Mus musculus: one gene and its partners. The protein of the gene in region 4 binds, or shares a complex with, the protein of the main gene of each other region. Links are inferred from orthologs where the notes say so. Each region holds a gene or a part of one and is shown on either strand. Other genes may lie near its edges. The genes, in order: Ccnc, Med23, Med31, Med12, Med25, Med21 and Cdk8.

Region 1 (3,990 bases), on a different chromosome or scaffold from region 4:
AAGAACTAGCCAGCTTTAGGAAATACCATGAGAATGAGACGAATTTTCAAGCTAAGTTGGGGGTATAACAATGTTATAACAATGAAGCCTAGTCTAGCTCATCCAAATTCAAGAATAAATGTATTTCACAGGTTAATTGTGTACGTGCCTAAGTGGGTGGAATTTAAAAACATCTTTTCTATAGTTGGCATACTAGTTTCACTTATAGAAATTGTTTTCACTCCATTCCACATCTCAATTAGACTCCACTCACAAAGGAAAAACATTGGTGCTATCTTCCTCGGAATTCTTGACTAATTTTCAGGTGTGCCCAATCATTTAGAGACATTTTTTAATTTAAATTAAAACTTAAAAGATTTAGATAGATCCTCACCTGTCCTAGGCTGGCCCAAAACAACGTATCTGAGGGTATTGAATACCCTTAGCTTGCAGGTGTATATAGTGCTGAGTATCACCCAGAGCTTCTGGGGCACCAGCAAGCATTTTACATCCTTGATTATCTACATCCCTTTTCCTCTTTTCCCCTAGATGGCGTCTCAGCATGAAGCAAGGACTGGCCTGAAACTCCTCATGTTCTTGACTCTGCCGCCGAAGTACAGTACGAAACGCGAACGCAAAGTTGCAATGATAACAGCAACATTTAAATATTATTTAATTGCATTTCTGCGGCATACCCATTTGGAACGTAAGTGTTAGCTAGATGTACATTTATATGCTCATGTTTTTAGGTAAACAAGTAGCCGGCTCTGACATAAAAAGATTGCTACTCTAAGTTAAGTCTACACTTAACTCGTTAGGCTTAATACCGACAGGAACTTTACTAAGAGCACTTACATCTTAAGGCCAAAATTACTTTCATTTATTTCTCCTTTCAGCCCTAGGGAAAAAGCAGTCATATACTGCCATGCTTTCTTCAACGCCAGTGTGCTATTTCTGAAGGCCTACACCGTGGATTAACAAGATCCCTAAATGGACCCAAAAGAAAACCGCACTAGACCAGAAACCCAGTGTGTGGACGCTCTGGAGGAGAATTGGCAGGAAACCTCGGGGAGAGCCTCTCGCCACCGGGAGCCTCCGCCCGTGTTTCCTTAGCTCCCGCCTCAACAAGCCCATTGGCGGTCGGGCGGTTGCTAGCTTCCTCCGCAACTAGGGCGGGCCGGAACTTTTGTCTGCCGGAACCGGTGTACGCCGCTCAGTGTTGTCGACCGGCGTCAAGGCGACGAGGGTGCTGTTCTCTTCCTCCGGCTGCGGTGGCTGTGGAGTTCAGCCCAGCCAGTCTGGTAGGAGCACAGTCGTCCGGACTGTGTCTATGGTCGCTCCGCGGGCCGCTTTGCTGGCTGGTGCATTTGTATCAGGGCAAGCAGTATTATTCCATGGCAGGGAACTTCTGGCAGAGCTCCCACTAGTAAGTGAGCTTCCATTTTCTCGCCTGGGGCCGGGGCTGGGGCACAGGAGGGCTGGGCCTGCCCATCCCTCGGGGTTTCCATCCTGGCCGCTGCGGGTGAGCCCTCCCTGGGAAGCCGGGGGTCCGAAACGTGATGCTGTCGTTTGCGAGCCTCCCCTCTTCTCACAGAGAGATTTCGGGAGCAGAGGGGAGGTGAGCTCGAAGGATGGGTAAGAGGTAAGGGGTTTGATCTCCGGGAAGGGAGTCGGAGGCGGTTTCATTTCAAATTTGGGGTTTGATTGGTGGGATGATGTGGGCACCGGCAAGGGAAAGAGTGACCCATTGTAGCTCTGTGAGGTTCCCTGCTTTGGATGGACATGGTTGGCTATTGCTAGCTAGCTTGTTTGTTTGTTTGTTTTTTCATAGCAGTGATATTATAATCTCTTGTCATTCGCCTTACTGTAGATTTAATATTTACTCAGAGGAGAGGAGTGAGTCGTGCTTGTTTCTACCTGCTGCTTCCTGGCCCAGCCTTATGCCTAGATTGACACCACTACCCCCATCCCCGAAGCAGTGTTTCTCACGTTGAGGGATGGCTGCCCTAAAACTCACAGGCTGGCATCGAACTTAATGAAATCTGCCTGCCTCTGCTTCTGCTTCTAAGTGTTGGAATTAAAGGCATGAGCCACCAATTGCAGGCTCCTAAATTGACTTTAATGCTTCTAGAATTTGCGAGCACAGGGGCTCTCAAAATATATCCATTTTCATTCATTAGCCAGTGTCTTATATTTTGCCTTAAAGTCGTGTATTTCCCAGATTTTGTCCTCTTCCTTTAACCACTTAAATCACTAAATTTTAATGTCTTTCAGTGACCATGGAAGGGCTAAAGTAATCTTAAAGATATTTGTCTCTAAATACATTTGGTTAAACATGCAGGAAGTTGTATGCTTGGGCTAAGCGTTGAGCAGGCTTTCCACTAAATACATAAAAAATGAACAGGACTAGATAGAGACATTTAGTTTAATTAAATTTTAGTGGGAAGAGAATAACAAAATTTTAATTCTGTGAATTGGTTTGCTTGTTTCCCTCTTTGCCTGAGAATAAAGAAGAAGAAGGGGGAAAAAAAAAGAAAGAAAGAAAACTGAATTTGGAAACCTGTTTCTGAAAGCAGGTCCTCCCTTGCTACCAAGTGTTTCTGGGAAGATGAAAGGCCAATGAAGCATCACTGGGGGACATTATTTTACATTGTTCTCACTCACTGAGATGTTTCCATTAAAAAAATGAAATACAAAAGGGGATGACCCAAAAAGGTGGGATAAAGCTTGGGCCTGTACTTAATCCTGGTGCTCAGATAATGCCTTGATTGCCTGTCTCAGTGACATAATACTAAGACAGGCAGTAGTAAGTCTTTGGATATAGCAAGAGTCTATCTTCCAGGATGGTTCTTAGTCTAGAGGGTCTGAAAACCTGTGTGCTGGTGTTTGGTACACATGACACTATGAAGGAAATTGAGAAAGAGGTAGAGAAGCTTTGAAACCATCAAGAGATTCTTTACCCTCAAGTTTTCCTGTTTTTTGTTTTTTTCTTCAAACGATCTTGCTGAGGCTGCCAGTGGGCTGCTGAAAAACTAGAGAACTCTGATGAATAACTTACCTGAGAGTTTGAAATGGCGTCTACAGCATCCTTGTTAATCGACCAGACAGTACGGGAGTCACACTGATTGACACAGATTTATATCCAGCAAAGCACTCACAAATATATTCCACTCACAAATAGCACTCACAAAAACCAAAGAGATTTTATTGGTCCAACAAGACTGAGAAACTTGGGGGTGATGGTGAAAACACTGATTGAAAAGGGGATTAAATTAGAAAAATATAAAATTTGCTCCAGGTCTGAATGTATTTGAAACAGGTGAGCATGTATTGAAGAACTCAAGTATTTCATTGTTGAACATAATTTACTAAGGATTTTAGAGACCTATTCTGAAGAGTTAATGCTGAAGTTTCAGAGGTAAACTGGTGCTCTACCTCAGCTGCATTCCCAGCCAGACACTGTCTTTTATCAATGTTTTAAGTACATACCTCCAAATAAATAAATAAATAAATAAATAAATAAATAAATAAATAAATGGAGGAAGAAGAAGCTGGGTGAAGCACTGCATGCCTTTAATCACAGAACTTGGTGGTGATGGGGAGGGGCCGATCTCTGTGAGCTTGAGGCTGGTCTGATCCATGGAAGGAGTTCCAGGATAGCCAGAGCTAACCAGAACCAAACAGACAAATAAAGACAGAGAGAGGTGTGCCTCGTAGAAGATGGTAAGCTTATTGAATCTTAATGTTTTAAATGCTTTGGCTTGTTGGCTTTTTTCCTATAAATTTATTTATTCACTTTACATCCCAATATCAACCCTCTCTCCTCCCAGTACCTCAAGCAGCTCCTCCCCTTCCCATCCCTGCTGTTGCCTTTCTATGCCATGTTTTAAATCTTTACCTTCTCTAGTTTGCAGTGGATTTTGGATAAACAAGATCTGTTGAAAGAGCGCCAAAAGGACCTAAAGTTTCTCTCAGAAGAGGAGTATTGGAAGTTACAAATATTTTTTACAA
Region 2 (3,022 bases), on a different chromosome or scaffold from region 4:
CAGGAGAACATAATTCTAGATACAGTGATAAAGAAACGATCTCTTAGCTTTCCCTGTGGTGTTTGAAACAGAACATCAGAAAACCCCCTAAGGCATCAGTGAGTAGGCGCCTCTTTGAATAGTCTGCTCCCCTGGGAAAGCTGGTGGTATGGCTAGGAAGACCTCTCAGGGAAGGAGGCTCCCCCCCCCACCCCATTGGCTAGGGCACATTATGGGATGTTGAACACACAGTGGTGCAAGTACAAGTCACGCCATGCTACTCAAGAGGCAGGCTACTGAGAGTTTCTGAAGAGCGTGAGGGTTCTTAGCCTGAAGAACAGAGTCCCAGGAAGATGTCCTCATCGCCACTGCTCAGAAGGTTTTCTTCCCAGGCGTCAGATTTGTTCTGTCATGTGACACAGCAAGCCCCGTTGCGAAACTGAAGGGATGCACCCTAAATCAGGAAGAGGCATTTCCTACTACAAGTGGCAGGAAGTGGGAAGACCTTAGTGTGTGTTGCATGTGTAGGAAGCTGTGAGCTGTTCTGGGGGTGTCAGTAAGGCACATGGCTGCAGTGAGCCTCTCTCCTCGGTGCCTGGCCGCTGTTTCCTCTCTGCCAGGTTGGATTTCTGTCTGAACAGCACTGAACAGTGGGCTTCATTGTAACGTTTCCACACTGGCGTGTGCTCTTTAACCATATTCACCGCTCCATCATAGAAACTTAATTGCTGTGTCAGCATGGATACTGGCGTATGGAGCTGATGACAGGAAGACCAAGCTCCTTCACACCTTCACAGCAGTGTCAGACTTAACACTTCCCCTCCTGAAAGCTTTTCTTTTTGTTTCTGTTACCACACATAAAAATGGGCAGAACTGATGAAGATTTTTTTTTTAAAAAGATTTATTTATTATATGTATATGGGTACACTGTATCTGTCTTCAGACACACCAGAAGAGGGCGTCAGATCTCATTATAGATGGTTGTGAGCCACCATGTGGTTGCTGGGATTTGAACTCAGGACCTCCAGAAGAGTAGTCAGTGCTCTTAACCGCTGATCTGTCCCTTCAACCCACTGATGAAGATTTTTAAACCCAAAATGTATTCTTTGTATTTGGACCTAAACTTTGACATAGGAATAAAACAAAAAGAAACGTTGCTGACATTCCAGTCCTTCCCCTGAGATCAAAGAGCATTAGAGCTGAGAAAGCCAGGACGCTGGTGCGTCTGTCTCCTTATCGTGTTCTGAGTGCTGGCCCTGCAGACATTCCTGCTGCTCGGGTCTAACAGTATGACGAGTCCAACTGTAAAATCAAGAAGACAGCTTTGGGGAGAACTATTGCAAATGCTTTCTGCTTCTGCTAACATTGCATTCAGATTGGCTCAGAAGGATGACCAAGTTGGTAGATGTCCATCTCCTCATGGGAGCAATTGTAGTTGTGGATAGCAGGGTAGCTAAGCAGGTAGATGGGTCATAAGTTCTTGAAGTGCATGTGTAGACAGAGACAGGCACGTACACACAGAATGTATATACACAATGTGTGTGGGAGTACACATGTGCTTGCCTGTGTAAGAAAAGAATTGTGTGCCAGCTCCCCACTGTGGCGTACTGTTGACAGCTGATGTCACTCCGTAAATGTGGACTCTGCTTTTCCGTAATTGTGCTCTCGCTTCTTAGGTAGAGAAGATTATCTGTAATTTAAAGCCGGCTTTAAAGCTTCGTCTTCGATTCATCACGCACATTAGCAAGATGGAGCCGGCAGTGCCACCCCAGGCCCTCAACAGCGGGTCTCCAGCACCTCAGTCTAACCAGGTGCCAGCATCTCTGCCGGTGACTCAGTGAAGCCAGAGGCACTGTGACTGATGCAGAGGAGTGGACTCACGTCTAAATCTGAACACCGTGCTAGTAAAACGAGAGCAGCCACCATGTTCAGATTGGTTTATTCTGATTCAAATACTGAATCCCTCTCCTTGTCTATGTTTTGTCTCTAAGAGATAAGTAAGTTACATGTTGTTCATATTCATATCACTTTATTCAAATCCCTAGGAATGTGGGCGTTTCTATACTCAAGTGGCTTTTACTAGGCACTCTCAGACTTCCTGTCTTAGCCATTTTTAAATTATTGTAAGTAACATCTTTACATCTTGTATACCTTACCTTGAAGATGCGACACATGTGAAATGGCCATTACAAACCCTTTTGTACATAAATGTCCTTCCAAATAGAGCCTTTTTATTAATAAAGGGCCTTGTACTTCACTTGGAACAAAGGACGTTTCATACTCTTGTCTTTGGTTTTTTTTAATTGCCTATAAAATTTTTATTGTAAATTTTAAATTTCCAAGTGGTTCCAAGTAAGGGATGCCAAGTTTCTACCAACGTAGGTTATGGGAGTTTTGCTTCGCTCTGAGCTCTCTGTATGAAATGAAACCATCAGAAAGTTAGAAATGAAATAAAGCCGTGCTCAGACGTCTGATTGCCTGACTGCTTTGTAACTGAATCATTCGCCTCTCTGGGGCCATGCTCACCTGAGTCTTCAAGTCTCAGAATTTTCCTAACTTCACAAATTTTAAATGTACATATTTTAGTTCTTTAAGGCTTGATTTTGAGGTGCTAATTTGAAGGGAAATGGCACTTAAAAATTCTAAAGCCAGCAAAGTTGAACAAATAAACTGTTTCTTTAAAGAGCTACTATGATCTCCTACAGCCTGGAGACTGCCTTAGTGTCTGCACTACAGGTGTTAGCATCACCACCCTGCAACCCCGAATTATTCTCTGTAAAAAACTATAATGGTGAATCCAGCCAGCCACTTCTCAGATCTGCACTGTGAGTGTGTTCCTCTGAGGCCCTGCGGCCACTTCAGCCTCACATGCCATGTATGCTTATCTTAAAATTATATCACAGTATCGCTAATGTTTCTCGGCTAATAATAAATAGTCTTAGTCTTCTCCAGAAACTTTAGGAATGACCCCAAAGTTATTCTTATCATAATCTTCAGTATATTCTTTGTGCCACAAGGACTAGATTTCTTTGCTTGAGATCCT
Region 3 (4,300 bases), on a different chromosome or scaffold from region 4:
TCCGGTCTGAAAATTTGCTAGCATGTAACATTTTATATCTTCTAATATAACTTCAAGTCTATCATTTGGATTCCTAAAGGAATCTATAATTGCATCATGAAGAGCAAATCTACAGGCAGCAAATCAAGTCAGGAAGGTAACGAGGATAAAAAGAAATTTTTGAAATGTTTTACTCTCATTTTTAAAATTAGAGTCTCTGCCGGGCAGTGGTGGCGCACACCTTTAGTCCCAGCACTTGGGAGGCAGAGGTAAGCATATTTCTGAGTTCAAGGCCAGCCTGGTCTACAAAGTGAGTTCCAGGACAGTCAGGGCTACACAGAGAAACCCTGTCTCGAAAAACAAAACAAAACAAAACAAAACAAAAAAGAGTCTCTCTGTGTGGACCTGATTGGCCTGAAATTTGCTACATAACCAGGCTGGCCTCAAACTCATAGAGATCTACCTGACTCTGTTTCTTGAGAGCTGGGATTAAAGGGATGCCAGGCTAAACTTCTGGTTTTTCTGTTGTCTCCTCCTTTGAGAGGCACATCTAGACAGGGCTTACCTGTGTAGAGCTTGCTGCCCTGGAAGTAGCTCTGTAGACTAAGCTGGCCTTGAATTCATGTGCCCACCTCTGCCTCCCAAATGTTGGGATTAAAGGTGTGTGCCAGCTTCTTCTTCTTCTTTTTTTTTTTTTAAGTCAAAGCTATTGAGTTTGATAGTGTCCGTGTTTGTTCTTTTACAGTGAGTTAATGTGTACAATACATTTAGCACAGTGCTCGAAACAAAGAACACTCACTATAAAGAAGGGCAGTACCTCTAAAACTCCCAGAAAACAATACTTCCTACCTTCCTAGATTATAGTTTGGTAGGCATTAAAAATCCAGAAAGACAAGGGCAGTGCTAAGTGACAAGGTTAGACACCAAATTACATTAGAACTATAGTCTGAAACCAGTTGACTGGATCTTAGCTAGCCTGCATGAACAGAAGTGGTGTGTTCTGGCTTATATTACTTAGAGAGTAAGCTGGCTCCCATGAAGACAGTTGTTTGGTTCTGTTTGAAGGGAGTGAGGTAAGAATGGTAGCAGAAATAAATGCAATTCCTAAAATAATCTAAGTTACAGATGACAGTATCTTACATTAACTAAAAGCAGAAAGATTCAAAATATCATTTTCCATTCCCACACAGAGAAAACTGCTCAGTATCAGCACTTTGTATTTATGATAAAGTATACACAGATTTAGGATTATAAAAATTAAACTTACTTTAGATATTTGGCATATTCTGGTTCTTTCCAGTAAAGCAAATACTTAAGATAATTAACAAAAGCTTTGTCTTTGAAGTAACCTCTTTGGGCAAGAACTGAAAGACACAAAGAAACAATCCGTATGTCAACCAACCGCTGGACTACTGATTAGTAATCTCTAAAACAAAGTAGCTCTTAACATCCCTACCAACAGAACACAAGGAATTAAAAACACAAGCCTTTGTTTGCCCAGTTAACTTACAGACCAGAACAAATAAAATCCCATTCAAACACATCGAAGTAATAAATAGTATTACAAACTGCATCTCTTCTCAGAAATTAAGAGCTAGTTGCTTAAGTTAGTGATGTACTTAACTTACAATTAAGGTAGTTTGGGTTGGCTAAACATTGCACAAATTCCAACTCCAACTGAAACCGAAGCCGATTTCCAGCATCATCTAGGAGAAAAGACAAATATCAAAGTGCAGAAGAGACTTTCTTAGAAATTAAAGATATATGTATATGCGTGTGTGTATATATGTGTGTGTGTGTGTGTGTATATATATATATATATATATATATATATATATATATTCACTAAGTAATGAGGCCCTGTTTCCAAAACAAAAATAGTAAAACAAAAAATAGTAAAGAAATCCTTTAAAGTTAATTGAGGAAAAAATAAGTTGAATGGGAATTTACCACCTGCAGGCCACTTTGTTAGCGGAGATCACTGGACAGTCTGTAATAGCTGTGCGGTTCCCTAAGTTGTTATAACCACAACTATCAACTGTGATTACGTTAAGCAAAATCAATGTGCTACACAAAACCGAAGCATGATGCAAAGTGATTAAACAATGGAGAGAAGGCGGTGTCCGCATTAGAATACACAGGTTATCGATATTTCGGGCAAGTTCTTGGGAGTACCTTCAGCACAGACAGTGGAAGGTCTCAGTCCTCTCCCACGGCCCTGCACGGCCCCAAGAGCCAGGGTTGGAGTAGGGGTTTGAGCAACCCAGGAGCAAAGATGTTTTCACAGACCATAGTCTGAGAAGCAGCACAGCCTTCTCCTCCGCCGGTCCCAACTCTAAGGATGCCAAGTTGAACCCGAAAGACAGCGCAGGAAAAGGGAAAAGGGAGGGAATTTCGGGGCGTAGGACCATTCCCTTGGGGTGAAGACTCGGGGTGCAAGTCACAACGTACCTGTCTCCATAGCGACGGCCGCGGCCATAACAATCAGAGTGAGGCGAACACCACCAGCCCCGACCGAACCGCGACTTCGATTGGTGAGAATCCGGAAGCCACGGCTCCTACTTCCGGTCGCGGGGCAGAGTGGGACACGAGGGCGGGGACAACCTCACTTATGGGAAAATTAGCCCCACCTATCTGTGCAGACCCGGCCGGCTGCGCGCGCAGATATCGAGCGGGGCGTGCCGGAGGACTTCTCATTTTTTAGGTCTCAGAGTCCTGCTACCTACCCCGACGTAATACACCACCCTGACGTCACCTTTCCCTGTGTGACGTGACGCAGAGCATGATCCTTGGGCCTCTTTGTCCCACCTGACCAAGGTGTATGGGCAGGATGGCCTCGCCCCTTAGGAGCAAGTCCTCCGCCCCGCGAGTGGAAAGCACCCGCCACAAGGAGACATCGACTGTCCGCGTGGAGACGTCGTCCCACCGCGAGGAAACGTCATCCCACCGCGTGGAGACGTCCTCCCGGCAGGTTCGAACGTCTTCCCGGCAGGTGGAGACCTCCCAGCGCCACCGAGAGGGGCCCTCCCTCACCCCCTCCACGAAGCGACTCCCTCAGTTCCTTGAGGTGTCCTCCCAGCACGTGGAAACCTCCTCGCAGTGCACGGAAACGTCCTCCCGCCACGTCAGGGCGTCGTCATCCCTGAGGGTGGAGACTACTGTGCACCGTGTTGAGAGCCCAGCCAGGCAGAGTGCCAGAATGGCTCGATGAAGTGCCAAAGGTCCTTAGCCAGGACTGAAGAGTTGCCAGCCAGCCATCTTCCAGGAGAACCGAGCATCTTTGGTTTCATGGAAAGAACCCATAAATCAGTGTAAGAAACAGGCTGTGGTTTCTGGGGGCTGTTAACATGTATTGACATTGCAGCACCTTAGACCATCCTGTTGTTGACCCCAGTGTGCTATTAACTTGAAGCCAGCACAGAAGGTTTCAGACTGGTAGTGCAGTATAAACCTGGCTGATGGACAATGAGATTCTTTGAGTCTCTACACCAGGTAAGTTTTATAGTCTTAGGTCACTCTAGGATGTGTTGACGACTTGAAATTTGCAAAGAGGGGCCAAACTTGTCATGATTCTTGACCGCTGGCCTGATCATATACCTGCTTGAAACCTACAGGGCAAGGTATCATCTTTCATACATTATTAATTGGCCTTTATTAATACTTATATTTCATTATACATTTTCTCATGTTGTCATACATAGTATTCCACCCACACTTAAAAAATTAAATCAGGGGGTATAGGAAAAAACAGGACAATTAATAAACAATCAATAAAACCATTAATAATCTTGGAAGGGAAAGTAAAGAAGAAGCCATGACACTTGGCCTGAGGCGTGAGATTGACAGGATGGTAACTGAGTATTACTGCATGCTAGGTAGTAGTTAGAGCATGGCAGCTAGAGCAGTGGAAAAGACTAGGATCTTCCTCTAATGAAGAGACATGCAACAAAGGGGAAAGTAAGACAACATGCTGTTGTATTCCCGCGAAGGAAAGGCTGTCTGTCTTGTGGTAGAGAGTAGGGAACTCTTTAGAGAATATGGTCAGGGAAAGCCTTGCTGATTACATTTGGTCCGAGATTTGTGTGAGTGGACAGTGAGCCATATCAGGATCTAGAGGGAAGTGCATTCTAGACAGAAGGGAAAGTCTACATTTTTTTTAAAAATCAAAGATGTTTATGTAAGAGAAAGATCAGTTAGTATATGAGAGCGTGGTATAAGGAAGAAAACAAAAAGGAGGAAGATGCCACTTCATATAGAGTCTTGGAAATCTTCTGGGATTACAGTAAAGAGCTTGAATTTTATTCTGAGATCATCAAAAGAA
Region 4 (3,500 bases):
AGAAAGTCAAGAACACAGACTGCTCTTCCAGAGGTCCTGAGTTCAATTCCCAGCAACTACATGGTGGCTCACAACTAACTGAAATGGGATCTGATGCCCTCTTCTGGTGTGTCTGAAGAGAGTGACAATGTACTCACATACATAAAATAAATAATTCTTAAAAACAAAGACACTCAGAGCTGGCCATGGTGGTATACATCTCTAATTCTAGCACTTGGGTGGCTGAGGTAAGAGTGTTTTAAGTTTGAGGGCCAGCTTTGGATATATAAAAGAGCCCCCTGATCCCCCTCCAAAGTAACCCCAAAATAATCTCAGCATTTAAGAGGCTGAGGCAGGAAGATTGCTGTGGGTTTAAGTGCAGTATGGGTTATATAATGAGTTGTAGGAGAATCTGCGTTACTAAGTGAGATGCTGTCTCAAACCAACCAACCAAACAAACCAACAAATTAGAATACAAGGCAATGGCATTCAGTAAATCCCCATTAGACAGATCAAAAAGAGCAGATAGGAAAGGGGAGGAAAGGGGGCCCATCTCACTCCCCACTCCCAGGCTGCACAGTAAATACAGTCAGGACAGAAGGAGCTGAGTTTCCAGCACCCCCAAACCTTGTTCTTGACCCCTCCGCTCACCTGAAGCTTCTTCACCAGGTTCATATATGCACGCTTGTTTTCCTCCATGCTGCCTTGCGAGATACTGGACATGTCTGCAGCCAACGTTCCGTTGATAAGCACGCTCAGCATGTCCAACACAGTAGTGAAGAGCTCACTGTGGCAGGCAAGCAGCCAGGGAGAAAACCAAAGGAGCAAGAGATTAAGAAAATGGGGCCCTAAGACGTCAGAGGCAGGAAAGGATGATGTCATCCCAAGGGTCTTGAGATTGTGTGGAGGAACCCAGGGCCATGGAGCCCGTGGTTCACGTGGCTGGCACGGGGTAGGGACTCCTTCAGGGTTGGGGATGCTCACTTGTTAGACTGCATGTCCACAGTGCCGCTGATGATGATCTCAAGGAGAAGCTGGGCCCACTCTGTAGTCTGCTGGGTACTACGCTGCACAGTGTCAAACATGCCCCCCACCTGACAGGACCACAAGGCAGTCAGACAGGTCAAGGTGATGATGGTCAGGATTTTGAGACAAGCTTAGGTTAGAACCTGGTTGCGTGAGAGCTGAGACCCACTGAGGCCCTGTCCTGTCACTTGTACCTATGATTTCCTATTTGATGTTAGGCCAGTGGCTGAAGTTGGTATGTCAGGATCTGTTTCCTTACTTATAAAGAGGTGGGACTTGTACTAAACAAATTCTGTAATCCCATTTAACATTCCACAGTGGGTTTCTAGTACTCTAGGGCCAAGCCAGAATGCCGAATATTGAGGCAGGCTTCCTGCAAGCATACGAGCTATTTAGTCTATTGGATCCTGACCACAGGGATTTGGTTCCTTTGATAATTTTAAGGTCCTGCATTTCAGGAAAGTGAAGTCAATATTGGAAGACCTCAAAGAAGCTAGGACCTCTATCCTCAAACCTGTCTTCCCTAACCTGGAGCTTCTTAACTGTCTTTTCAACTCCACCCCTTCCTCCTTCCACAAAGACCCCCTCACCAGGTTGAGCCGCAGTTTGAGTGCCTCATGCATTAGCTGCTTTGGTTTGCAATCATCTAAGTACTGGTTTTCTCGCCAATTAATCACAATCTAGAATAGAAACAAGTTTAACATGTAGCGAGGAGTCTCCTTTCTATTCCAAGTCATTAAATGTTTTTAATCAGAAAATAATGAAGAGTCCAAGCATGCAGTGGCCTCTTAGATGCACCCTTCCCCAACCTGATGTCACCTCCAAGACCCCGGATACCCGTACCTGGTGCACCTGGCTGTGGAGGGAGGCCAGGAGTCCCTCGCGCTGCTCATCCTGTCCTTTCAGACATGTTAGCACCAGTGATAAGAAAGGCTGTTGGCTCAACAGGGACATGCTAGAGTCACGAGGAGGGGAAGGGCAGAGAGACAAGAAGACCATAGGTCAAGAACCTTCTAACTCCCTTGTCTCAGATTCTACACTTAAAACCCGTTTTTCATTTCAGTTTTCTATGTGTCTTACTTTATGTGCATGCCATTTGTACATGCAGTCAAGAGGAAAACTTGTGGAAGTTGATTCTCTTCACCATGTGTAACCTGGGAACTGAACTCAACGCTGTCAGCAAGCAGTTTTCCCCATGGAGCCATCTTGCTGAACACTAAGATGTAACCTCCTATTTGGCCATGCCACTAATCTCTTAACTTGCCACATTCTTTTCTTCCTTCCTTCCCTTTTTTGTTTTGTTTGTTTTTTGAGAGATGGTTTCTCTATGTAGCTCTAGTTGGCTTAGAACTTGCTATGTAGACCAGGCTGGCCTCAAACATTAAGAGAGCCTCTTGCCTCTGCCTCCCAAGTGCAGGATTAAAGGCGTATACTACTACACCCCACCCAAATGCTCCTTTCTCGTGAGGCCTATCTATTCTCTACGTCTTGGCCCAATGTTTCTTCTTTCCTGGTCCTGCCACCTCCTCTCCATTCCACTCTTTAGTCCTTCCTTACTGACCAGAGCCCCTTACCTCTTCTGTTTCTGTCGATCTCGTTCTTTACGGGAAGAAGAGCCCAGGTGCTGACCCTTTTCCAGTTCCTCCCCAGCAGCTTTTAATACATGGCCCTGGACTGAAGTGGGCAGTTTGGCAATGAGAGGAGCCACCAACCATACACCAGATCGCTCTAGAGAGCTAGAAGACAGAGGACATAGGGTTTCAGGGGAGCCAGCTAAGCAAGGTCGAATAATCTCTCATTTCTTTCCCCTGGGCATGTCCAGTATCACTATTTCAAAACCATCATTCATGGTATCAGTAGAAAAAACTCATGAGGGACAAATCCTAATTTCTTTCTGGCAAACCTGAGCACAGGTTTGGTCTTGCTGCTGCTGGGCATGTTGCTTGCTGTACTTCCAGAAGATGACCCCGTCTCTGCTGACTGTTGGAAAACCTCGATTGTGGCCTTGGCAATGTTCTCCAAGAGAGAGTTCATCTCCTGGGAGAATAAAAGGAACAGAAGGGCTAAATAGGCAGCTAGCAGTAAGGAGAACCAAGGCAGGAGGGATGGGAGATGAGCTGAAGGAGGGCATCGTAGAGGTTGGCAGTAGGGACTTAACCGTCAGAATCTGTACCCTCCTGTACCTCTGTATGTCTACAGTTCCTTACTGTCTTCTCCTTTGCCACAGAAACAGGCTCTATTAGCACTGTAGGAATACTTGTCCACAGAGGAGGCTCCACACTCTCAGCCCATGTCCTTATCACCAGCTCCACGTGTCTGTCATTCTCACACCCCTCTTATCTCTCTCAGTCAGGAGCTTGAGGGTAGGACCTCAGTTCTATGATGGCTGATATCCCTGACACAGGGAACTGGAAGTGGGCCTGGGAGAGGGAGGGCCTGGGGACATGACTTACAGTGTTGGGGGTCTGCTTGATCATCAACTGTAGCTCCAAAGA
Region 5 (4,111 bases), on a different chromosome or scaffold from region 4:
TGGTTAGGAGCACTGGCTGCTCGGATTCCAGAGCAGCTGGCAGCTCAGAACTGTCCGTTACGGACAGTTACAGTGTCCGGCACCCTCACACAGACATACATGCAGACAAATCATCAACACTGTTTTGTTTTGTTTTGTTTTTTTATTTTGGAAGGGAGGTTGCAAGTGTTGTGGGTGGATATGAGGGGACAGAGAGATGAGTGGGTTAAAAAAATAAAATAAAAGATTTATATAATCCAAGCTAGGTATAGCAGCTCAAACAAGCAAACCTAACATGGGTGAGGCTGAGGCAGGAGGATGGAAAGGACTGTGTGGTGTTTAAACCAGACTAAGGGCCTAGAAATGAATCAGTGTTCAGAGCACTGGCTGCTCTTCCAGGGGATCCAGGCTGCAGTCCCAACACCTCCATGGCACTGTGTAACTCCAATTCCAGAGGATCTGATGGCCTCTTTTGGTCTCAAAGAGCACCAGGCACAAGTGTTGCATATACAGAACCTCGTACACATTAAATTAAAAAAAAAAAAAATCTGTTTTAAAAACGTGAGTGCAAGCCGGGCGTGGTAGCGCACGCCTTTAATCCCAGCACTCAGGAGGCAGAGGCAGGTGGATCTCTGAGTTCGAGGCCAGCCTGGTCTACAAAGTGAGTTCCAGGACAACCAGGGCTATACAGAGAAACCCTGTCTCGAAAAACCAAAAAAAAAAAAAAAAAAAAAACCGTGAGTGCAAAGTGTCAACAATGTCAAGGATGGGAAGGCTGGCTTTACATTAACTCTAATCCTAACAACTTCCGGGAGGGGGTGGGGCAGTGCACAGGTCAGCTTTCCATGCCACCTACCATGTCACACACACACACACACACACACACACACACACCTGGAACACAGCAGACAAGCAGACATTCAACACACACCTGCTTCATCAAAACAGGATCTAGATCAGCACCGCTATATGAACCTTGACCACAACACACCTGTGGAATCCACATGGCGAGGTTAGCCCCAGCGCCCCTTCAACCCTTCCAATGCCCACCAGTCTACACTGTTATTCATTTGCAAACCAAGACCAGGAACAGGGCAAGCAGTAACTTTGGGCACTCACGCACTGCTTACTGTGTGCTGGGCGGCAGCACCCTACATGGCTCTGGTGGTCTGTCCCCAGGGATCCCACTGGTCACCCATTCTTATCTGGACCAGGATAGACTCACCTACCAAACAAGTGGTGACAAAAGTGATGGACTGTCACTTGGTCATCAAAAAAGCCTGGTGGCTTCCTCTTTGCCCCCTGGATTCACTCATTCACTCTGAGCAGAGCCAGCTGCCAATCTGGGCATCACTCTGCTATATGCCAGGGCATGATGGCAAAGAGCCAGCAAGGAACTAAGGCTCTGTCCACAGCCGCAGAACAGCCATCATAGCCATCACGGCCTCATGGCCGTGGCTCTTTCAGGCATGCCAGAGAGTGGATGAACACAGCCCTGTGAGACCTGACCAAACACACACGGCCTGGCTTATCCTCCTGAGTTCCTGACATACAGATGGCTTCATGAGGAGCAACTGTGCATTCTGAAATCCTTAAAAGTGGGGTGGGAGTGGGGAAACGTTATACAGCAACAGACAGTCAAGAGCACTGAGAACAAATACGAAACGAGCAGCACAAAGGACCCTGGGACCCGACAGTCAAAGAGTTATCTGGGAAGAAGCCATGACTCTAGGCTGCCTGGCTCTACAAGCTGGTCATGGTGGCAGGTGTCTGTAATCCCAGCAACCAGAAAGTAGAAGCAGTCAGATCAGCAATTCAAGGCTACACTGTGCCAGGTGTGGTGGCCCATGCCTCTGATCCCAGCACTTGGGAGGCAGAGGCAGGTGGATTTCTGAGTTCGAGGCCAGCCTGGTCTACAGAGTGAGTTCCAGGACAGCCAGGGCTACACAGAGAAACCCTGTCTCGAAAAAAAACAAAAAAAAACAAAAAAGGCTACACTGTAAACTGTGACCCAACCACGTAAGGAGCTCTCAGGGCCCAGACCCATCCTGCAGACTCCTCTGGAGTAGACAGACAAGAGGAAGAAAGAAGAAGCTGACGGTAACTGGACACTCAGACAGGGACTGTGGTGACCCACACTGAGTTCTGCTGAGTGCGGGGCACTATTCAATCACAGGCCACCCTGCCCACAGTCTTTCTTGGGGGTACCCATCCTGCCCCAAATGGAGGCAAAGCTCACTTGATGCCATCGAGCCAGGTGACAAACTCATAGGCACTGCTGGTAGGTGCGTGACATTGTACATAGGACTCTGGAGCGCAGTCCACGGTGTTGAACACCACAAGGCTGTACTGGGTTCCACCATACTGGGAAGAAAGGACAGAACAACTTTACAACTGAGATCTTTGGCAAGGAACAGGCCATCCCAACTTCAGATCATTTTAGAAATAAGCTGTGAGCCCTTCTTCTCTCAAACCCAAGACTAAGGACCCCATCTTTCCTCCCTCAGACACAGGGGTCTACCGGCTTCCATCCCGTGACTCGGCCGCGCACTCACGTCTCCCCCAAAGTCCGTCTCTGCAGGGGGTCCCCCGTTGAAGTACCTGCAAAGACGGAGGAAAGGCGGGGTCGGCACGAGCTTTAGGTTAGCTAGGGCGGCGGGAGGCGACGAGAGGTCTCGCTCACTCACTCTATGGCAGGCAGCAGGTAGTGCTTGCGGAGCTCCTCGAAGTACGGCCCCAGGTTTGCTGTCCCCTCGATCACAAACACCACATCGGCGACCAGGCCCCCGGCCCGCGCCGGGCCTTCGGATCCGGGGACCATGCCCCGCGCCGCCGACGCCAGCGCCGCTGACGCCGTCGCCGTCCCGGGACGAACAGAAGTGCGCTTGCGCGGTGTGCGCAGCCCCGCCGGACGTCTGGCAGCTTCTGCTGATGCTGATACGGCCATGTTTGTGCGGGGCATTTTGCGAGCCGTGGTTTTATCTCTACCCTGGGGCATACCAACAACACGAAACTCTCAGAATGGGCACAACGAGCCCCTTTAAGGGCCTCTTGAAATCGAGCAAACTTTTGCGCACAACATCAAGCACGAAATAAATCGAAAAACGGCACATCCGGTCACCATCTTGGAGTCGAAATCTAGTTTCCGACTCCGGGCTAAAGGGAGGGTCGGGAATCCGGTTGCTAGGCAACGCGTACCCATCCGTTGTGGTCTCACACAGAGATTAAGTTAATAAATTCTGTTCTTTCTGACCGGGAACCGATGAAAGAGAGCGGTCCAATCACATCATTGGAAACGACGTTGCTAGGCAACACTGTAAAGTTGCCCGGGACTTGGAAGCGAAGCAGTTGTTTTTGCTGGGAAAGAAGGGAATTCCAATTTAAGTGGAGGTTGCTAGGCAACACCTAATCTCTGTTTTCTGGGAAAGAAGCCAGAAACAGAATCAAAGAAAATACATTCCTTATTAAAAAAGAAAAAAAGAAAAGAGAAAGAAAGAAAAGAAAAAAAGAAAAGAAAAAAAAGAAAGAAGAAAATAATAATACTATATATATATAAACAGTGCAATAGTAATGTCTGGTATAGTCGAGAAAACTGAGTCTCAGCATTGTAGCTAACAGCATAAGCCGAAGTGAATATAAAATGACCTGGAAACTTATGTGTGGACAGAAATTTACTAAATAAAGCGTACTAATGTAGAAAGATACAAAGCCGCGATGGCGCACGCCTTAAATTCCAGTGCAGAGCAGATGCAAGTGGGACTGAGTTGCAGTATCAGTCTACAGAGTGAGTTCCAGGACAGACAGGGCTGCACAGAGAAACCCTGTCTCGAAAAACAAAATAAGAAAAAAAGAAAAAGAAAGAAAAAAAGACAAGCGATTTTTCAAAACGTAGGTGGCAGGCATCCAAACTTGGCTCACTTGCTTGCATTTGCAAGCAGGTTAGCAACTGAGACATTGCCCCAGACCTTGGTTTTTGGTATCTCTTCCCCACCCTCCACTCCCAAGGCAGGCTTTCTCTGTGTTAGCCTTGGCTGTCCTGGAACTTGCTCTGTAAATTTGTGGAGCCTCCCAGAACTCAGAGATCTGCCTGCCCCTACCTCTGGAGTGCTGGGATTAATGGCACACGCCACCC
Region 6 (2,761 bases), on a different chromosome or scaffold from region 4:
TTTTTACAAAGAAGCTATAAATCGTAGAAGAAAATGTTAGTTAAACTAAGCAGACCTCACCTTCTGTAGGATTGGCTGGTTGATCTTTATTAATTGCTGTTTGAATGTTACTAAAAGAGGCAGGAGGACCACACTGCTGTAATACACCAATGGCATTACAAAACTGATCTGCAAGCTTGAGCAAAAGGAAAAAAGTCAAGGTTACAAAGAGTTTTCAATGAAAGGATTTTATTAAAAATGGCAACAATCTTCTCATAATAATGATCTCTATGCAAACTCCTCAGACAAAGGAAAATGAGCCCATTATTACTAACAATAACAGATTGTGCAGCTAAAACTCTCACTCTTCCAGGGATCTATTTACATCTAGTTTGGATTAAATGGTTTAATCATACAAAGAAACTTAAGTTTGGTTATCAGTCTAGGTAAAATTAAATTTGGTATCAATCTAGCTTAAAGAATCAATACATGAAAGTCAGGCTACGGTGCCAAATGCCTTTAATGCTAGCACCTGAGAGGAAGAGGCAAGCTGATCTCTGAGCTCAAGGCCAGCCAGGGTGTACTACACAATAAAACCAAAGACTTGGCCAAATGATTTGTTCTGAGTGGCTCTAGAGACTGAGCTCTCAAGAAAAGGCTGCTCACAAATAAAACCAGATCTCCATCCCAGCAGATATACAAACTGCAATAGAGACACAGGTGCTGAATGGTTAAGAGCACTGGCTGCGCTCTTTCGAGTCTTGGCTCCAAGATGACCAAAAAAAGAAGAAACAACGGTCGTGCCAAAAAGGGCCGTGGCCATGTGCAGCCCATTCGCTGCACGAACTGTGCCCGGTACGTGCCCAAGGATAAGGCCATCAAGAAGTTTGTCATTCGGAACATTGTAGAAGCCGCTGCTGTCAGGGACATATCTGAAGCAAGCGTCTTCGACGCCTACGTGCTTCCCAAGCTCTATGTCAAGCTGCATTATTGCGTGAGCTGTGCCATCCATAGCAAGGTCGTTAGGAATCGATCCCGAGAAGCCCAGAAGGACCGGACACCCCCACCACGATTCAGACCTGCTGGCGCTGCACCTCGACCTCCACCAAAGCCCATGTAAAGAGGCCGTTTTGTAAGGACAGAAGGAAAACTACCCTGGAAAAATAAAATGGAAGTTGTACTTTAAAAAAAAAAAAAAAAAGAGCACTGGCTGCTTTTGAAGAGACCTGGACTCAACCCCCAGAACCCACATGGCAGCTCACAACTATAACTATAACCTCAGGAGACCTGATGTCCTCTTCTGGCCTCTTCAGACACCAGGCAACCACATGGTACATACGCTTACATGTAGCAAAAACCCCTCATACACATTAAAAAGAAGAAGAAAAAGACTCCTGCAAATCATAACTCAACAGATCCTAAGATACCAAAGAAAAATGACTGTTGCAAGAGTCTGTTCTTTTCTTCTTCAGTGTGGGTTCTAAGTTAGATCTGGTGGCAAGTGTCTTTACTTAACTGAGCTGAGCCACTTTGCCAGCCTCCTAAACCATTTTATATCTTAATTTTATTTATTTATGTGTATGGGTGTTTTGCCTGTGGGTATACATGTGGACCATGAGTATTCAGTGCCCACAGAGGTCATCAGATCATCTGGGACGATATTTTAGATGGTTGTGAATCACTATGTGGATGCTGGGAGCTAAACCAGATCCTCTGAAAGAACAGCCAAGCTCTTAACTGCTGAGCCATTTCTCCAGCCCCATATGCTAATTTTAAAAACTAATACCACCAAACAAATAAAATAAGGGTTAGGTAGGTGTTATGTAAGCACAAGAACACAAATTTGGTTCCCCTGCACGCACAACTGAGACCCTAAATTCTTGCTGGTCAGCTAATCTAGTTGAAAACATGAGCTTTTGGCTCATTGAGAGACCTTGTTATTCATAAATAAATAAATAAATAAGGAAACGTAATCTTAGACAACTCTGGTCTCTACATAAATGTACCCAGGTTAAGTGCACCTGCATATACCACAGACACACACAGACACACATACACGCTTAAAACCACACACAAACACTCATACACAAAGTTGTTTGCATAGCATACATGAAGCCCTGGGTTTGATCCATAGCACTGATGGTGGTAGTAAACACCTGTAATCCCAGGATCGGGAGGCAGGAGGATAAGAATTTCAAGGATACCCTCAGAATTGTGTTTGAGGACAACCTAGGGTACATGAGAACCTGTCTCAATCAAAGAAAAAAACAAACAAGAGTAATCTTCCTTTTGTTTTTGTAAGTATTGAGCTACATATGCCAAAACTTATTCCAAACAAAATAAGTACTCCCCTGCCCCAACCCCCAAAGACAGTGTTTCTCTGTGTAGCCCTGGCTGTTCTGAACTCTGCTCAGGCTGACCAGGCTGGGTTCAACTCAGAGATCCTCCTGTATCTGCCTCCCAGGTGCTGGGATTAAAAGTGTGCATTACCACCACTTGGCTAAAAATAAGAATTTTAAAAGGTAGTCTGAGATTGAGAAAATCTGCTGGCAAATATATCTACCAATGCTAACAACAAAAATGTAACGTACAAAGCGCATGATTTCTTTTCTGTGAACAAAGCAGTTGCCAAGTATAAAGAAATAGTGAGAGGGTTAAGGATACAGCTCAGTTGATAGATGCTAGCCTAGCATACATGATTCTTGTTAAGTATAGTTTGTTTTGTTTTGTTTTGTTTTTCGAGACAGGGTTTTTCTGTGTAGCCCTGGCTGTCCTGGAACTC
Region 7 (3,063 bases), on a different chromosome or scaffold from region 4:
CGTGTAAGGGTCATAAGAAACACCGTGAGAGCTAAGGTTGACAGAAACCAAACACAACCACTCAATTCAGAGGGTTAAGGAGGGACCTGTGTGATCAAAGGCATGCAGTATGGGTGTGAACAGGGGTGAGAAGACTTGGAAATGCCACTCCCAGCAACCCCCCTTTCTCTTCTGGTCAGGCCTACCAGTACTGATTCCTCAGCTCGTGGACTGCGCTAGATTGTTTTTAAAGGGATGGCTTCAGATTTTGAGAAAATATCTGTTAGCTCTAAAAAGGAGGAACCAAGGGTAACGGAGTGGAACTACCATTACCAGAACTAGCCGACTATAAAGCTACCTGTCCCCTGTGCTACAGACCTAGACAGCTGACCAGAGTGCACACCTCAGCCTAAGCCATCAGTTGTCACCAATAAGTCACTGGGAAGAGTTATACAGAGGCATGTTTTAAAATACAACAAAAGACCCTTGGTGAATTTGAAAAATATAGTTGACACCATACATTGATTTATGAAAAATAAATTTATTACATAACACCTTGTTTTTAACAATGTTCAATTTTTTTTTATTCAGAATACTTGTGTCATTCATGTAAAATAGTTTGATACAGTACGTTGTATGTTATAGCTTTTTATTTTCCCCTCAAAAGTTCTAAGGCTCTCCTACTCCCTCTCCTTTGCTGAAGTAAGGGCACCCTAAAAATGTGCGAACAACCTTTTAAAAAGAAAGTTAACTGAACAAAATTGTAATAGCACTACACTAGGCAGCTTCAAATCAGGACAGAAGAGTGCGGACTGACGCCGTGCCTCGCAGAGGTCACCGTGCCTCGAGGAGGTCACCGTGCCTCACGGAGGTCGCCACTCATGCTTTTGTATTCAGAAAGCATGCTCACAAATCAGCAACACCAACGAGGAAAAGAAAACCCTGTCTGCAACACTCATTTCAGTTTGCTGAACCAACAGGCTTCTATCAATGACAACATATTTAATTACTATCAAATAGCAGCTTTAAGACCAGTCAAGTCGTCATAGGTTGAAAATAAAAACAAACCTCTAAGTTGGAAATTAATCTTTGGGAGCTCTGAAACCTGTCAGTAGAAACTATGTGGTTCTTTTGTACTTTCAAAACAATCCAAGCAATATTCTTGGTCATAAAACACTGATTTATGTAGAAGATGAATCAACCCACTGATAAGACACTAAAAAGAAAGGTGTACCAAAATAATCTTTAAATCTTGGTTATTTTGTTAACATAATCTGTGTTTCAAGTACCAGTTAAACCTTGCGTCTGTGTGTACTATTGGTCAGATCACGCTGTTACACTCAAAGTCACCACACACGAGGACAAATGCTCGCCCTAGCACATTTCACAGCTTCAACTGCTACAGACTGTCACTGAAAACTATGCTTGGTCAGTCTGAACCATGTCAAGTAAACTATGGAAGTAGCAAACCCACAACACAACTGTGCTAGCACTTTCATTTCAAGTCTAACTCCAAACTTAGGTACAACCTGGAAGCTACCACCCCAATCTGTGACAACTGGTGGAACTCGGCTACTGGACATTGTGAAGATGTGGTTGTACAGTACATTCGCATGGCCCACACCAGGTTCCCGCGAGTGCCGCAGCCAGTCCTGCAGCATGAGCAACAGTGCACTGACAGACTCCAGCACAGCTCAGTACCGATGTGTCTGATGTGAGTACTGTGGAGGCTGCTGGGAGGTAGCTGAGTATCCCATGCTGCTCTGGGGCTGTGATGTGCTTGGTCCAGGGTTGGGATAAGCAGCATGTGGATTGGAACGCTGGAAAGAAGACGAGGGAAAAGCGTGATTCAGGGACTTCTCGAGGTAGCTTGGCCCCACGCCATCAAGGCTGATAGGGAAGGGAATCTTGTTTCAAAGAAGCAAAGATGTATAAGTTTCTGTAAGGCACTAGCTTTAGAATTAAAATATAAAAACACTGGCTAAGCAGCAGCAAACCCCTCAGCTGGCCCATACAAAGCAAAACAGAGCAAAAACAAACAAAGCTCCCAACTCTTCCCACATCAGCTTCTCTCCAGGAAGGTAAGAATTGGGACACCATGTGGGCAATTCTGATCATATCTTGCGACATGAGCATGAGGCACTCAGTGTGTATATCCAGAGTATATAAAAGCTCGTAGGCGGACTGCAGAGATGGCTCAGCGGTTAAGAACACTGACTCTTCTAGAGGTCCCGAGTTCAATTCCCAACAACCACATGGTGGCTCACAACCATCTGTAATAGGATCTGGTGCCCTCTTCTGGTGTGTCTGAAGACAGCAACTGTGCACTCACATATATTAAACAAACAAACAAACAAACAAACACGTATTTAACAAAACAAAACAAAACAAAACAAAACAAAACAAAAAAAGCTGGTAGGCATGGTGGCTCTCTGTAATCCCAGCACTTGGGAGGAAGAGACAAGATCTGTAGGGGAAGCTGGTCGGCTAGACTAGCTAACATCTGCAAGCTCTGGGTTCAGTGTAAGACACTGCCACAGTAAACAAGGGAAAGACACCTGATATCAACTTAGGGCCTGAACACACACACACACACACACACACACACACACACACACACACACACACACACCACATTCTTACATCCACATGCCTGTGTGCCCACACATATAAAAACATACACAAACTCATACATCCTTCATGAGCTGCATTCTACCATGTAAGGGCACTTTCTGTGCAGGGCTTCCCCAGGCAGGCCACCATGTTCAGAACACACAGCCACTCAGTCTTCCCACAGCTTCACATTCTAGTCACTGTTTCTACTCTGCTGCTGCTGATGCCGTCTGCAAGCGATTTCTGTTCTACCTTCCTCCCCACACTTAAGACATGGAGAACATCCAGGTCTCTCTCTTACTCAAGGCTGAACAGAAGTAGGTGGGATCTAAGAGCCCGTGGCCTTGACTCCTCTTCTACAGTGCTCAGGAACAAAAGCAGCCATTGGCTAAGTTCAAGGCACACATGTTTAAGCTGACTTACCAACTTCATTTTATAGATGAGAAACACTGAAGCTGTGTTTTGCTTCAC

Evidence for each region.
Region 1: the proteins of Med12 (region 4) and Ccnc are in contact, whole or in part, in a cryo-EM structure (PDB 8TQC), measured with the Homo sapiens proteins. The link is inferred for Mus musculus from reciprocal best matches to the Homo sapiens genes MED12 and CCNC. Residues at the interface, in NP_005111.2 of Homo sapiens: Ile6, Leu7, Ser8, Tyr9, Glu10, Pro13, Leu14, Lys15, Arg18, Leu19, Pro22, Asp23, Val24, Tyr25, Asn47, Pro49, Ala50, Val51, Asp54, Glu55, His56, Gly57, Ser58, Ala59, Lys60, Phe64, Pro66, Ile69, Asn72, Phe73; in NP_005181.2 of Homo sapiens: Gly3, Asn4, Phe5, Trp6, Gln7, Tyr11, Ile15, Asp17, Gln19, Asp20, Lys23, Gln49, Glu53, Leu57, Arg58, Gln59, Ile62, Tyr153, Arg157, Pro158, Gln161, Tyr162, Asp165, Leu173, Pro174, Trp177, Arg178, Ile179, Asn181, Asp182.
Region 2: Med12 (region 4) and Med23 share a complex: the UniProt entries of both Homo sapiens proteins name them as parts of the mediator complex. The link is inferred for Mus musculus from reciprocal best matches to the Homo sapiens genes MED12 and MED23.
Region 3: Med12 (region 4) and Med31 share a complex: the UniProt entries of both Homo sapiens proteins name them as parts of the mediator complex. The link is inferred for Mus musculus from reciprocal best matches to the Homo sapiens genes MED12 and MED31.
Region 5: Med12 (region 4) and Med25 share a complex: the UniProt entries of both Homo sapiens proteins name them as parts of the mediator complex. The link is inferred for Mus musculus from reciprocal best matches to the Homo sapiens genes MED12 and MED25.
Region 6: Med12 (region 4) and Med21 share a complex: the UniProt entries of both Homo sapiens proteins name them as parts of the mediator complex. The link is inferred for Mus musculus from reciprocal best matches to the Homo sapiens genes MED12 and MED21.
Region 7: the proteins of Med12 (region 4) and Cdk8 are in contact, whole or in part, in a cryo-EM structure (PDB 8TQ2), measured with the Homo sapiens proteins. The link is inferred for Mus musculus from reciprocal best matches to the Homo sapiens genes MED12 and CDK8. Residues at the interface, in NP_005111.2 of Homo sapiens: Pro26, Gln27, Gln31, Glu33, Asp34, Leu36, Asn40, Val41, Lys42, Gln43, Gly44, Phe45, Asn47; in NP_001251.1 of Homo sapiens: His143, Ala144, Trp146, Phe180, Asn181, Ser182, Pro183, Pro186, Ala208, Arg209, His210, Thr212, Lys213, Met273, Pro274, Pro320.

The regions. Positions count from the first base shown.
Region 1 is NC_000070.6:21,726,511-21,730,500, forward strand, and holds the start of Ccnc (cyclin-C), read left to right. Parts: upstream 1-1,190; 5' UTR 1,191-1,373; coding exon 1,374-1,405; intron 1,406-3,886; coding exon 3,887-3,990. UniProt on the Homo sapiens protein: Component of the Mediator complex, a coactivator involved in regulated gene transcription of nearly all RNA polymerase II-dependent genes.
Region 2 is NC_000076.6:24,911,008-24,914,029, forward strand, and holds the end of Med23 (mediator of RNA polymerase II transcription subunit 23), read left to right. Parts: intron 1-1,655; coding exon 1,656-1,820; 3' UTR 1,821-2,522; downstream 2,523-3,022. UniProt on the Homo sapiens protein: Required for transcriptional activation subsequent to the assembly of the pre-initiation complex. Component of the Mediator complex, a coactivator involved in the regulated transcription of nearly all RNA polymerase II-dependent genes.
Region 3 is NC_000077.6:72,212,531-72,216,830, forward strand, and holds the start of Med31 (mediator of RNA polymerase II transcription subunit 31), read right to left. Parts: upstream 2,801-4,300; 5' UTR 2,459-2,800; coding exon 2,431-2,458; intron 1,686-2,430; coding exon 1,608-1,685; intron 1,344-1,607; coding exon 1,247-1,343; intron 1-1,246. Other genes in the region: 4930563E22Rik (uncharacterized protein C17orf100 homolog), read left to right, coding at 2,801-3,190. UniProt on the Homo sapiens protein: Component of the Mediator complex, a coactivator involved in the regulated transcription of nearly all RNA polymerase II-dependent genes.
Region 4 is NC_000086.7:101,287,591-101,291,090, reverse strand, and holds part of Med12 (mediator of RNA polymerase II transcription subunit 12), read right to left. Parts: coding exon 3,459-3,500; intron 3,043-3,458; coding exon 2,909-3,042; intron 2,742-2,908; coding exon 2,580-2,741; intron 1,961-2,579; coding exon 1,849-1,960; intron 1,686-1,848; coding exon 1,596-1,685; intron 1,074-1,595; coding exon 964-1,073; intron 767-963; coding exon 631-766; intron 1-630. UniProt on the Homo sapiens protein: Component of the Mediator complex, a coactivator involved in the regulated transcription of nearly all RNA polymerase II-dependent genes.
Region 5 is NC_000073.6:44,889,565-44,893,675, forward strand, and holds the start of Med25 (mediator of RNA polymerase II transcription subunit 25), read right to left. Parts: upstream 2,801-4,111; coding exon 2,667-2,800; exon of another isoform or gene 2,581-2,666; coding exon 2,535-2,580; exon of another isoform or gene 2,501-2,534; intron 2,344-2,500; coding exon 2,219-2,343; intron 1-2,218. UniProt on the Homo sapiens protein: Component of the Mediator complex, a coactivator involved in the regulated transcription of nearly all RNA polymerase II-dependent genes.
Region 6 is NC_000072.6:146,645,579-146,648,339, reverse strand, and holds part of Med21 (mediator of RNA polymerase II transcription subunit 21), read right to left. Parts: intron 1,164-2,761; exon of another isoform or gene 538-1,163; intron 176-537; coding exon 61-175; intron 1-60. UniProt on the Homo sapiens protein: Component of the Mediator complex, a coactivator involved in the regulated transcription of nearly all RNA polymerase II-dependent genes.
Region 7 is NC_000071.6:146,300,312-146,303,374, reverse strand, and holds the end of Cdk8 (cyclin-dependent kinase 8), read right to left. Parts: intron 1,800-3,063; coding exon 1,674-1,799; 3' UTR 501-1,673; downstream 1-500.